Linked DNA regions of Drosophila melanogaster. Changing the gene in region 3 together with the main gene of any one other region gives a genetic interaction. Each region holds a gene or a part of one and is shown on either strand. Other genes may lie near its edges.

Evidence for each region.
Region 1: of Dg (region 3) and vimar, changing one enhances a phenotype caused by changing the other (phenotypic enhancement), as found in Drosophila melanogaster (2 studies listed by BioGRID).
Region 2: of Dg (region 3) and chif, changing one enhances a phenotype caused by changing the other (phenotypic enhancement), as found in Drosophila melanogaster (2 studies listed by BioGRID).

Annotation. Positions count from the first base shown.
Region 1 is NT_033778.4:6,982,711-6,987,273, reverse strand, and holds the start of vimar (visceral mesodermal armadillo-repeats), read left to right. Parts: upstream 1-1,561; 5' UTR 1,562-1,855; coding exon 1,856-1,862; intron 1,863-4,287; exon of another isoform or gene 4,288-4,563. Other genes in the region: CG17002 (uncharacterized protein), read right to left, coding at 341-440, 498-929. UniProt on the Drosophila melanogaster protein: Probably acts as a GEF (guanine nucleotide exchange factor) for the Rho family of small GTP-binding proteins (G proteins) that stimulates the dissociation of GDP to enable subsequent binding of GTP.
Region 2 is NT_033779.5:16,349,627-16,354,289, forward strand, and holds the start of chif (chiffon), read right to left. Parts: upstream 3,003-4,663; 5' UTR 2,401-3,002; coding exon of another isoform or gene 2,301-2,400; intron 658-2,300; exon of another isoform or gene 361-657; intron 1-360. Other genes in the region: Hyls1 centriolar and ciliogenesis associated, read right to left, coding at 2,301-2,400; CG4455 (uncharacterized protein), read left to right, coding at 3,469-3,508, 3,587-3,927. UniProt on the Drosophila melanogaster protein: A bicistronic gene producing two proteins that are components of different complexes and have separate properties and functions.
Region 3 is NT_033778.4:16,095,536-16,100,206, reverse strand, and holds the start of Dg (dystroglycan), read left to right. Parts: upstream 1-1,642; 5' UTR 1,643-2,079; intron 2,080-4,671. Other genes in the region: CG8414 (uncharacterized protein), read left to right, coding at 1-513, 572-837; mRpL34 (mitochondrial ribosomal protein L34), read right to left, coding at 906-1,128, 1,192-1,214.

The DNA.
Region 1 (4,563 bases), 9.1 Mb from region 3:
TGATTATTTACTTAACACTTAACCATGTTTTTGCAATCATTCCTAATTAGAAGTTCAATTGATATTAGTGCTAATATTTCATAGAGCTTAAAAAAGGGCTTGGCAATCAGAATGTAGAGATGATGACATCACAAAAATCACGTATATCTCTCGTCCAAATCAAGAACCATACATATGTGCTAACCAATTCAATGACTAATCAAATTATGAGCAGATCCCGCATTCGAGTTAACAAAATCCAACCGAAATTGCGTGCATGAGACTTTGGACTGCCTGCCTGAGGCAGCGTTCACTGTATCGGAGGCCCAGGGACCACATTGTCGACCTCTTCCTGGCTTACTCTGCTGGGCGTAGCTGGCGGCGCTCTTGTAGTAAGCCTGCTGCTGACTCGGCGGCGATGGACTCCTGCCACGTTTTCCTGGCTGTCCGCCGGACGGGAGCTGCGAGGAAAAAAGAGGACCATTAGAACCTGAATCCCACAATTGCGCAGTCGAGACCTTCTGCATCAGCGTATGGTGCTGGTGTTGGAGGCGCAGGGGCGGCAGGAAGACCGGGCTACTGGCCGCCGCCTGCTGGATGGCGAACAGTTCGTTCTCCTTGGCCAGCTTCTTGCGCGTTTCGTCCTCGTTGAGCACCTTCTTGAGTTGGACGGTCAGCTGATGCTTCTGGCTGTGCAGATCGGCCAGCTGCTCGTCCAGTCGGGTTATCTGGCCGCGTGTGTCATCCAGGGCCACCTGGTTCTGGCGCTCCACCTCCTCGCGCTCCCGTCGCAGCCGCTGCTCCTCGCACTGAGCCTCGAACTCCTCCTGGCGCCGCTGGCGGTCCGCCACGATGAAGCCCTTCAGTGCCCCGCGCAGCTTCTCCGCCCGCTCGGCCTTCGCCGCCTGGGCGGCCGCGTTGCTGTTGTTTACCGCTGATGCTGGCGGCATCTTTGTGCTCTGCTTAGTTATCTTGCCAATTTTATAAGCGTTCGTGGACGACCGGGCAATCGCGACTGTTTGACCGAACCGACCGAGAGGCTCCCCAAATGGAATGGCGTGCTGGTGGCGGTGGGCTGGAATCCGGGTGGACACCGCTACGGGAATCAATGGTTGGGCGTCTTGGGATCACTGCAAATGCTCGACGCCGGGCTGCACTTTATTTTCGTTCACTTTCAGCACGGTTTTTTGTGGTAAACAATTTGTTGAGTGAGTGGGATGTGCCGACCAGTGTTGCCACCAATCGATTAATGGGCAAAGCTAGCTAGAAAATAGCTACTTTCCGATTGTGGTGGCAAATCTTAAGTTAACGTTCGAACTAAATCACTTATAAAGAATTCGATTTTTTCTTTAAAGCTTATATTCCTAATATTACTAGTCACACCCCAGAATTTAATATAAAATACAAATAGTTTCAACACTGATCGATACTTATCGATAACTTTTTGGAAACAGATTATAGTTTTTGGAAAATCCAAGCATTAAAGTCTAGACATTCTAGAAATGTCTATCGATGTTAATAAAATGCGTAAGCATCGATATGGCATCTCTCATTGGAGGTATCGTGCAGCTCGAGCTCTGCGGTCACACTAGAATTGCAGTTGTTGGTGTGAACGTCTGAACGCGATTCGGAAAATACGGATTACACGGATAATACGAATTATACGGATATTGCGGAAGTTGAACGGAGACGCGACTGAAAGAAAGCCGTGAAATGTGTTCAGTTGCGCGCAGCAGTCATTAGCCTATCAGCAGTGTTTGTTACAAGCTAACAGTGATACAACGTGCCTGGAATCGCAACCAACGCAGAGCAAGAAAAGCAGAAAAGCATAAAAACGGAAGAAGCAGCAGCGGAATAATCAACAAAGGCGGCAAACATGGCGAGTGAGTAACATCGAGCATTTCTCTGCCTATGGAGCATCCCAAACGACATACAGCAGACCCCGGATTCCTTTTCCATAGCATAAACAAACGCAATTCATGCGAGTCATTGCAGCGGCCGTTTTATGGCTGCAGTGCAGCATTTACGAGCTGCGAAAACTTCCAAATCGCTGCCAGGTGTCGGAGGAAGTTGCTCCGAGCAGGGGCAGTGGGGTGGGGGCGGGCGATGCGGCTCCCTAGACAAGATGTGTGTGTTTGCCGGGGACATGTGAGAAAAATCAATACTTATGCTCCCCACTCCCCATCCCACTGCACAGTGGGCCGGTCGGATTAGGCAGATGCCGTGCTCCTGCTGCTGTGCGCACCCACTTATCGCGGCCAACAGGGTCAGCGCTTCCCAATCAGAAATCCCGCTCTTTTATCCTTTAATGGCCCCGGCAGTTCTGGCGGGAATTAAGTGCGGCTGAGACAGCGGCCACCACCGTTTTGCACGAACCCGCCACCCGAGCCGCCCACTCCACCGCAGCACAGGAGGAATAGGAATGGGAACTGGGAACAGCAGTGACGACGCATTAATAAATGAGAATATGCCTCCTGCGAGGTGCCAGGTTTACCGGCGTGTCGCAACACTCCCCGCAGTCCTCACAATTCGTTTTATCCCCACGGGGGGTGATATAGCAAACAAAACGATGAAGTCATGCACAGTGAGAAATCTATGGCAACTTTGTTGAATTGTTGATAAACATTACAATTAGGACAATCTTCACAGATTAAGCTTAAAAGGGCTTAAAATTCGATACTACTTTGCAGTCAAAGCGCAGTCATTGTCAAGATAAAGCTGTGACTAACTAAAAGAAACCCCTTTTTTTCTTGTGTTTCTCAGTGTAGTTGGATGTGTAACGTACGCACTGGATGTGTTATATTTGGGTCAGTCACCGATGAGAATTGTTAAACGTAAACAAGTCTCTAAACTTCTTAGTTTTCAAACGTGACTGCACCGAATCAACACATACATAAACACTGGCCACAGACTGTACTGTTTGTATACCCTTTCCCGAGGGGAACCTGTGCAGAACGACAACAAACAGCACTTGAACGCGCCGGCAATCCCGGCCTCGAAACTTCCCCTTTTTCAGGAGGGGTGCTGCATCCCAATCCCCACACCACTGTACACCTCACTTGTCTACAGAACCCACCAGCTGCGCCCAGCGTAGCGAGACCCATTTCCACACTGAAAACAATTCGTGGTTCTTGTTCATTTTAATTCATATGCAAGCACTGGGAAACTTGCGCTGAATATATGATTTTCAAGACCTGTCATTCGGAGCATTCATTAAGTGTTACATAAGTTTTATACCTGAAGTATAGTACATTGAAATACTATTCGACATTACTATAGATTGTTTTGAAATCTAATGAAAGGACATCTATAAAATTCAAGGATGCAGGCCATTGGACCGTTGCGGCATGATTTACTCGCTGTGCAGATCCCAGCTGCGAGATGCTTGCCACGTCCTCCCTGCGGCTCAGTCACTTTGGACTTTAATTGGTCCTTTGTGACTGCATTTGTCGACGCTTTCGCTCGGCGTCTTCGACGCAATTTGACTGCTGTCCTTGAGGCTGTGGCTACCATCAACCCCGAGGCTGGGAGTCTGATAAGGAAGAGGATATCAGCTGCCAAAGCAGGCCGCTCCCCTCGCCAGATTCCAGATTCTAGATTCCGGAGCTGCTGCCTCTTTATTGTTATTGTTATTATTTTGGGCTTTTCCATTCGTTCCACGCAGCTTACCCAGATTAGCTGGCTGTTATTGTAGTTTGCCCGGCTTCGAATTTATTGTCCTTTTCCACCTCCTTCTTGCGTATTCCGGCGTCGTTGCTTCATTTGCTTCAAATCTAGCTGGGTGACTTGTGATTTCCCCGTGCCTAGCGCCTTCCACTCGCTTTATTCTTTTAACTGCTAATAAGATTTTGGCCCTTCTAATGGCCTTGAGAATGAATGGGGCGAGCAGGCCGCCTTGAAAAGATGAAATTGTGGGGTGGTTGGTGGCTAGCTCTGTTTTAATTGAGTTCGTGCCCTATTCAAATTGGCATAGAAATTAATTTCAATTAACTTTCGAGTCTTTTCGAGGAGGCTATGTGTGTCCCCTTGACAAGTTGTGGAGCATACTTTACGGGGCCAAAAGAGGGTTGGCATTTTGGGGAATCCCCCATCGACAGAACGTTCTAACTTGTGTGCTTCAAGTGTGCAACTTGTGTGCAAACTTTTAGTTTTTTCCGCTCTAAACTAAGCAACTTGTACAACTTGTGTCAACTTTTAAGTTGGTAAATTCGTTGGTATTTACACGAGTACTGCATGATTTAAATGTTCAATAAGCTGGCTGGTATGTAAAAAACGGATTCAAGTTGTCTTTTCTCAAGTGTTCATTGTGTTGACATACAAAATGTTGACTGGCGAAAGTCAATTTGTATTTAAGTTTGCAGCTACATATACATATACAGTCAACTTAGTTCGAAACTATTTCGGCTACCTCTAATATACATACAAAAGCACTTTGTTAAATTCACCAACTCGGTGGATTGTCCCAGAACAACAAACCAAAATTTAAAATTTGCAAACGAACAGAGAAAAACGAATCCTTTTTTGTCTTCTCACGCTGCTGGGAAGGAGAAGAAAGTAACCAAGAACTGGAGGACGACGACTTCA
Region 2 (4,663 bases), on a different chromosome or scaffold from region 3:
GCTTTATGTAGAGTTAAATTTAATGAAACTTAAGATTTTACCATTGCACTCAAAAATAAATTTAAAAATCAGACCATAAAAATGATTATTTACAAAAAAAAAAAAATTGAACTTAAGTAATATTAATTTCCAACTTATTACATCCAAATACGTTGTACATGTTCTTATAAAATGTTTCAGTAACACAAATATTTAAAAACATTTTATTAAAAACAAGAACCACTCCTATAAAGTTTCCCTCCAATTTTAGTTGGAACAAAGTTATACCAGTCTAAAGCTGTAGTTATAACCATTGATATAATTGGTTTAGTTTTTAATTTTTATTCAAAATTCGACCGTAGCTGGAAATCCAACACCAACCGCGTTTTAAACTTGTTTGCCACGAAAAATGATATAAAAACAAATAAATCACTGTGGGGGAAATCCTACTCCCGGTGGTTCTTCTTCCTCTTGTTCCTTGTACGTTTCCCGATGTGTGTTATGCAATGTTGCATTCGGATACACACAAATCAAATCAATAACTGCACTTGGATGCATTTCGGTATGTATTGCCTAAAAGGCCATCGAGTGTTAAGTGTGAGTTAATTTATTTTAATTCCAAACTAAATGGAACACAGAAACACGACCCAAGCGGGTGGAAGAAGAAGAAGCAGCAGCTGTGCTGCAGCATAGCGCTGCCAGGTCGGGGGGCTACGCTTAGCGAGGCGTTGCCAGCACGCGAAAAAATTAGGGGTGACACAGCTGCAACATAATTGTACTGTATTGTTGCATTTGATTAAAAACCAGTTATATTTACAAAACAGGCACGAAAAAACAAATGTGGAAGAATAGCGATTCAAGAAAAAAAACAGTTGGTGATGACACTTATTCTTAATCACTCATACTAACCTCGGCTTGTATATAAGCTCTATTTAATAAATTGTACTTTCTTTATTTATACTATTATTATTTAATTTTATAAAGTCAACCCTAACAAATATAATTATGCATCTTATCGTTGTATTTCTTGCTAATTTGCGCAATATGGCTTATCACATTCCATTCATATTTGTTGTTTTGGTTTTTTACGTCTCCCAAAAAAACAATGCGAATGAGCTGACAAAGCCATAATGGCCGATGACCGATATTAAACTCATAATGACAATTAGTCCGGCAACCCTGCCGTTCACAGTACTAACACATTCGTAAATACTTGCAAATAAATTGTATGCCTAGCCAATATGCACTGACGCGCGTCAATATATATATAACCTGAAAAACGAGCACATCAGCGCTGCGCTGGCACTTTTTCTGCCCTCGCTTTATATTTGCCATTACAAAACGAAACGTTGGCGCAAAGAGAAACGAAAGAAACCCTAGTGGCAACCCTCAAGCGGTAGCAGTAGCAACAACAACTAAGGAAAAATAAGAAAAAGAGTAGGAGCACACAAGGAGTAAAGCGAAAAATAACACGAAAAACGCACAAAACACAAAAAGAGAGTGGAGGGAAAAAAACAACACACACACACAATTCATACAGTTGCGGTGGAAATTATAGCACTTTCAATTTAAAATAACCGAAATAGACATTTTAATGAGTGTAATGAGTTTTGTGCATTAGGTAAATAAAATATATTCCGTAAGACAATTTTTCTATTAATATTACAAATTCAAATTGCACATCGACATTTCCCTAACGCTTTACCCGCTGCTGTATGCGTACATATGTATGTTTGTGGATAAAATTCATGTGAAGTTGCGGATGAAGCTTACAATGTGGTGGAGGCCGAAACACACGAGCAAACGCAGAAAAGCAGGCCCAGGGCAGCAGCAACAACAACTATGACTAGCAAGCCAAGTACAAAAAACACACAGAACAGTGGGGTCACAAGAGCCGTGTGTTTAGGATTTCCACTGAAATGTATTTATGCCACAGTACGTGAACCTTGCCAAAGCAGTTTTCCTTCGATGTCGGGCCGGCCTTTATTCGATTATTCCTAAATTTTTGGTCCGAATGAATTTTGTTGCTGCAAACCACTGTGCCATGGGTATGTATAGTGTGTTATTCACAATTTCCAAGTAATACTCGTTTTTATATTTTCTTTTTTCCATTGCTCCGTATTTCTGCCTGTGCCGCTGCTCTTTTTCTTGTCTGTGCTTTGTACGCACGTTCGTTTTGGAAATAAAAACAAATTGAAATGGTGACGAATCGTTTGAAATTCAGTTTGAAAAGCCGCAACCAAAAAAAATTGTGCATACAAAATAACAAACCAAAAACAATCCCACACACACACGCACGCACACTTGTACGGATTGCTTACCTTTTAGAAATTCACGGAGTTGCTCGGCTGATATGTTCCTATAGCCCAAATCATTTAGATACTGGAGAATGGCCCGTGCATCTAGTGGCAAATGTGACATTTTACTTTTCGCCAAGTAGAGCAATCGTTCTTGATATTCGTATTGTTAATTATTTTTTGTTTATATTCCACCCTCACACATACACACGCGCGCGCACTCGAGCACATACAAACACACACACGAATGCAAAATCGCCGTTCGTTTGGTTTCTCTTTCTCGTTTGTTTCGTTCGCTTCTTCTTCCTTTTGTTCGTATTCGTCTTCGTGCGCCGACAATCGACCAATTTTCACTGTACTTTTGCTCTGCGTTGGCCGTTTTTGAGTTTATACTTGCATTTACTTGCGTCAAGTTAATCAGTTGCAATGACTAAATATACACAACTGTATGGGAACGATCGGTATAAGCGTCTATATGCCTTCGTTCGCCCGTCGTTCGTTTGCTAACGCCTTTGTTATTTTTATGCCTTTTATCAGGTTTTCGCGGTCGGATGGTCGCCAATTCGATTGTGCACGCACAGTTCGAGTGTCGAAATTGGGCCTTTTCTTATTTTCACATATTTCCTCGCTAGTTTTATAACAATTTTCACCAATTGAAAATAAAGTGTACACGGACAGGGCAGCGCACACACGCTCGGCAACCAAATTTTCGTCGTGTTATCGATAACTATGTTGGCTGGCGATGGTCGATGGTTGCTAAGCGGCGTGACTGAGTCGCGGTCACATATCGTTTTAAGGGAAAAAGTCACGGATTAGCAGTTTTAAAAAAGGTCTAGTTTAATATTGATTCGTTTTTCGTGACGAGAGACATTAATTATTCATTGAATTTATTTATTTCATTTAAAAATATACACTAACGTACTTACAATTTTGTTAACATGAATCTATGATATATACCATAAATTTAAAATTTGTAATTGCGATTTGAAACATCGACAGCGATGGCTATCTTCATGTATCGATAGGCAACGACAGTCCGTCCCTACCAGCAACGCGAAAGGTTTTTGTCTTGCTTTCTTGTTGCTTTGTGTGATTCTCGAGTCTCTGTTCTGCGTCTGCGTCCCGTTCTCGTGCCAACGAACTGATTTCGCCCCGCGTTCGTGCTCAATCGTAAATTCGAAATAAATTAAAAATGTCTCGCAGTTCGTACCTGTTGTGTGTGCTGTTTTTAGGTGAGCGAAAGAGAGGGAGAAGAAATGAAGAAATCGCCTCGCGATCAGATTTTACGGATACGCATCTCGTTATTGCAGGCGCCAGCTGCTTGGTTTTCAGTGCGAGTGCAGCGCGGAACAATCGAAGGGGTTACAAGGCCACGGAACCGCCCACCACCACCCAGCCCCCGCAGACGGCCAAGGAGTATCTGGATAGTCGACCCGGAATCTCCACATTCGGCATCATCGCCATCATCTTCACCGTAATCGTTCTCTGCCTCGTCTTCTACTACGGCATCATTTGCTACCCCTTACTCTGTCGCGATGACAAGAAATATCGGTTTATGGACGTATCTTCAACCATTACTGCCGCCACATCGCGCTCCATTCAATCCATAGAGAACTATCCCGACCAGAAACACCATCATACGTTGGCCTGATTCGGGGTGTGGACACCTGGAGGATAGTGGTTTAGTAGTACTTCAATTTAGTAACGCGAAAAAGACTTAAATGCCAGCCAGAAACGAAAACCCATTAGTATGACTACAGATTTAGGTCCTAAGTTTTAAAAAGAAATATCTCGAATTTTATCTCTATATACCCTTCGCATTACTGGAAAGTAATTACTTTTTTAACATATTCGAAGTTCCGAAATGCTCTGAAAGAATTTTCCCATATTTTGACCGAATTTCGTAACAAAGCAGTACTACACATAGCAATAACCAGTTGAGGAGTTCGCTGGAAAGGGAATTAATCATTCATAATTGTAAATTGGGTTTCCTACGCATCCCCGACTGTTTCTTTATCTGTTGTTTCTCTTAATCCCGGGCTCAACAAGTTTGGCCTGTCCTCTGGCCCTTTTTCCTTGTCCCTCCTGCATCTTTGGCCTTTTTTTATTTCTTTTAATGCAGGTAGTTTTAGCCGTTTACTCACCGCTTTGTTCTCTGTTCATTTTTTTTGTGGGACAGAGCCAAATTGTGGCAATTGAGTCACGTTGCCTGGTTGTTTCTTTCGAAATCCAAGGGAATTTAGCGATCTTTTTTATACCGTCTTCACGCAACCCAATTTGCATTAAGAATCCGAATCGTACTAACAGACGAACTCTTCGTGATGCCTCGAATTTTGCACTACATTTTAAAACGCCGATTCCCGTCCCTTTATATACACAGGTTGTAC
Region 3 (4,671 bases):
CAAATATTCCTTGGCTGATAAATACGATGGGCTATAATAAGGGATTTGGTATCGAATTGATGGCTCTGCTGGTGGATCGCATTCGTCCCACGGATCTTGTACAGATTGCCAGTCCCATTCCAATCAATAACTTTGATTCTGTCCTCGACCGGAACAGTCTGTCGCAGATAAAACCAATTATATACTCTGCGGAGGAGTTCAAGATCAATGAAATACCAAAATACACACTCCATAAGCTGATAAGTGCAGTGCCTGCAAGGGAAAAAGGAACTTGGAGTCTCAGCGCCAAGGACATGCGGTACTCCAATCTTCTGGCACGTCTCAGTTCCTGCCTGACTGGAAATGCCAAATCTCTTACAGACTGCCAGCCGTTGGGAGTGTCTTTGGAATCCCTGAAAATCCTGCATCCCACCAGCAAGAATTACTCGCGCGAAGAACTGATTCGAGGCATGGAGGCTAATGTAGTATATCTGTGCCATCACGGAGCAGGTCTGCCCCAATGTTTGGGAATAGGTTTGTACACATTCACGTTCTTTTGTGGCTTATTAATTGAATTCCAAAATTCTTTTAGGTGTGGTTCGCGCCATCGACTACGAGCGCAAGGAGTTATACCTGGTGCCAGCAATGCCGCTACAAAAGATGTCCCTGGTGGATTGTCTTATCCTCGGCGGGGAACAGTCCCTGCCGCAGGGCTTCCTTCGGGATCAGGGCCAAGGTGTGTCCAGCAGTGTGCCCTTCGTGTTCATCCTTGACGATTCGAAATCTTCGAAGAGTATTCAGCAGATCTACCATCGAGCGCCAGCCTTTCTGGGAGTACCAGCGAATCAACGAAACTAAAACTGAGCTTACTGTAGCAATCGCAATCGGATAACATTGTAAATAAAGTTAGGTTTATTAACACAAGGCTAGTGTGACAAATTGTGACGTCCTTTGAGGATCCGGTTCATCAGCACTCGTCGTCCCTCAGGCGTCGACATCCTAGCATTCCAGCCGTGGACATTAATTCTCTTCACCTCCATGGGTTTCGGAAAATGGCAGCGTACTTTCGGTTTCAGCACCGCCCGGTTGAAAGCGTGCTTATCCCGCACGATTAGAGTTTGTGCGGTGCTGACAACCGCCAGGCAGGTCCTGCAATGCCAATGTATGTTATTATACCACTCAAAATAAATGGTATATTCATTATTTACTCGCCTTTGGAGCATTCCTTGCAGCATGTTAAGTAATTTCCAGTTAGTATGACCGCATGAAGTCCGAATAATACCGCCTGAACAGCCGGTAAGCCGCTTTGGCGTTGCCAGACCATTGGGTTCGAAATTTCGAACTTAGCTGCATGCTATTTTACGTTAGCATGTAAAATGCATTACATATAGATGGAATCATACAATTAATCTAAAAAATCGTCATAATATTGGTCAAATGGAAAACCACCATATGGGGACAAATTAGATAAACCGCTTTTAATTGAATGGATCTGAAAGTAACCGAAAACTTTTTAAATATGGAATGAATATGTTTGGTTGTACATATATCGAATTGGTATTGTGCCATCTCTAGCTACCCACGATGGTTGTGGCAGCGCAGCTGTTGCAAATGAATCCACAAGATACATTTCGGTATATTTTCCGCAACGGATTCTTTTCCACCCTCAGTTGCGGTCACACTGCCTAGCCAACAACAACCACAACTCGGTGCCGTTAGGGCTGCGTTTGTTTTCTGCTCCCATTCAGCTGCATAGAAAAGAAAGAAAAGTGAAAAGTGTTCGGAAAACAGGCAGCATGTGAAGCATAATTACTCCACGGAATTACTATCTCAAACGAAATAGTTGTCGCCGAAAAGAAGTGCGTAAAATCGCGAGTGAGCTCGTGAAAATAGAATAAAAAAGCGCTCTGCAATTGAAGAGAAACATTGCTGCAGTCGTGTGTACGTGCGTGTGTTTGTGCGTGCGAGTGTGAGTGTCGCTCTCTGGACGCAATTTCTTTGGCCAAAAGAGTGGGGAAGTGGGGCAGGAGAGTCCCGAATCGAATCCCCGAAACAGGCAATCCGAATCCGAATCCGGTGCATTAAAAATAGCGCAACGAGGTGAGTAAAGATGCAAACTGCAGCATTCAGTTCACGAGCTGATGCCAACAAAAAGAACTCCAATTAGCCATGTCTGCAGCCAGCCAAAAAAATAATGAAGAACGGCAGAAAAAATACAACAAGAAAATCGATTTTCCTGAACTTACAATTTTCTCCGCCTCACTGGGCAAAAGGGGGGGCGAAATGGAGCTTGGGGAGCCGGCTACGGCTCCATAAAGTATACATAAATTGAATTTCGAAACACGGAAGCGAAATGGATGCACTGGACGAAATAATGAATAAATTATTTTGATATCGAAAAGTTATTCTCGTTAGAAAAAGTTTCGCTGAGGGTCTCGAACGCAGTCTGTTTTTATAAAAGCATATTATTTAGCCTTATCAAGCAAGAGGATGAATAAAATTGCATTAAAATGTATTTCGACTAAATTTCGACTTGCTATACTTTATTTCTCTGCGTGTAAAAGGGGGCAGGAGGCTGCACACGGCTGTTGTTCTTGTTTTGTTTGCTGGTGTGGATGATGATGGAAATACTTGCATATGTGTGTGCGTTCTGCACAGAGGGAGATGTAAAAATTGAAAAATCTGACCAGAAGCAGGACCCTCCGACTTTTGGTCCAGTTGTCATGGCCACCGCACTTAACAAATGATTTTAGCGGCCACTTTTTCCCGGATGCGAATGGGGCAGCTGTCACTCCGTTTGCCTCCTCCTCCTTTTCTCCTTTTTCTGATTTCATCTGTCTGCCCCTTTCTATCTTGCTCTCTCCCCGTGTTCTCCAACGTGTGTGTGTGTGTGTGCGTATTTTGATGACGGCACTCAGTTTCCGCCCGCACTGTGATTTTTGGCCATACACGGCACCAATGTTTCAGTACAGTGGAACCTGGTGCGCAGGAACCAAATGAAGTTAAGTTTAAAACTGCATTTACTGCGACCATTTATGAAATTTTTTAAATGAGTTACATTTCAGGTTCTTCTAGATTTGTTTTAATGTGAGTAAACAATTTCTGCTTTAAAACGTAAAACTCACATGTACATAATATACAATTGTTGGCAAAGCAATAAAAACTTATTACTACCATAAAAATAAATAGGTCGACATTTTCAGACGCAAGAACGCATAGAATGTGTGAACAATACGTACAATAGCTTATTGACACAATATTTAGCATTCAGCGGATTAACTCATCAACGTTGGTTTTTGATTGAATGTGTTATATTATCTATTTATGTACATATTATATTATATAATATTTCGGCATAGGCTTTAACTAACTTTATGCTTGCCACTGTTTAAACTGGCTTGGTTTATCATACGTTTTTCCCAATTCGCGAGTGCCTACTGTAGAAAATCCCCGGCATTACCACTCAGTTTTCGGCACTCTTTTGCGGATGCTGCGTACGCAAAAAGGGGACGTCGGCTGTTCTAAGAGGACTAGATGTTTCCTTTTCACTTCCGCCAGCACCCCTAAATTACGTGTCTCTGTGTGAGTGTCTCTGCACGTGTGTGTGTTGCGTGCAAGTGTGTTTGTGTGTGTGGGCCAACAAAATTACTTTTACGAGCATTTAGCATAGGTTGTTGTCCCTTCGCCCATTTCCCCGGTTTCCCTTCGCCACCAGTTAGTTTTATTTTGATGCGTTTTTAATCAGATTGCGTCAATTTGTTGCTGGCCCAACGATGAGGGCGGTCCCGGTGGAGGGGGGGGGCGTTGGGATTGTCCTATTAGCGCTTGTGTGGGAGTGAGCGACCATTTCCCGGGTTGCGTGTCAAGTGCAGACCCTTTTTTCGCCCGCTTTTTTCACTAATTATAAGAATGTCTGTTTTGGCCTCGCATCTGGATGATGGCTCGTCATTGGGCTTACATTCTCGCTTTTGATGACTCAAAACTTAACTTTTCACTTTTGCAGTTCTCTTTGTGGCACCCACGCAATTAATTGGATTGATAGATTGAAAGCCTTTTGTTTTTAATTTTAGCAAATTAAATGCAAGAATAATACTTAAATGATTATATAGATATAAACTTTGAAATTTGATTATGATAATATGATAATATGAAAACAACTTGTGCTGAAGGAGAGACAGCCGAAGTTTAGGCACCAATTTGCCAGCAAAAGATAACAAGAATTCATTGAATTATGTTTGTTTTAACCAGTTAGGTTATGCATTCTTATGTAAAGTTTACCTTTTCTATAAACTGTAACTGATGTTAAATTTCATTTTTTGTATTCGTTAGTTAGTTAGTAAGGGGATCAACACTTCGTTGTTCAGTCGCCTTGTTTTTCTTAGTACCAATTCTTTTTGCTTTGCGCTTCTCCGTGGCCCGTTAAAGTACAGAAATACTTGGCCAGGCCGGCCGGAGTGCGAGTATCGTATCTATCATGGCGGCAGCTGTCCAATTCTCCAACCAGCCGGCACTGGATCGCTGTTTGTTGTTGTTGCTCTTGTATCTGCTGTCTGTCGTCTTCATCAACGCCTTAGTATCTGTGTTCGCTTGCTTATTTATTTGTGTGCGAGAGTGAGTAAGTGGCGCTGTGTGTGTTGTTGGCTTGAACTTTATGGCATTGCGTTGTTTTATGTTTGTTTTTAGCATTGGCCT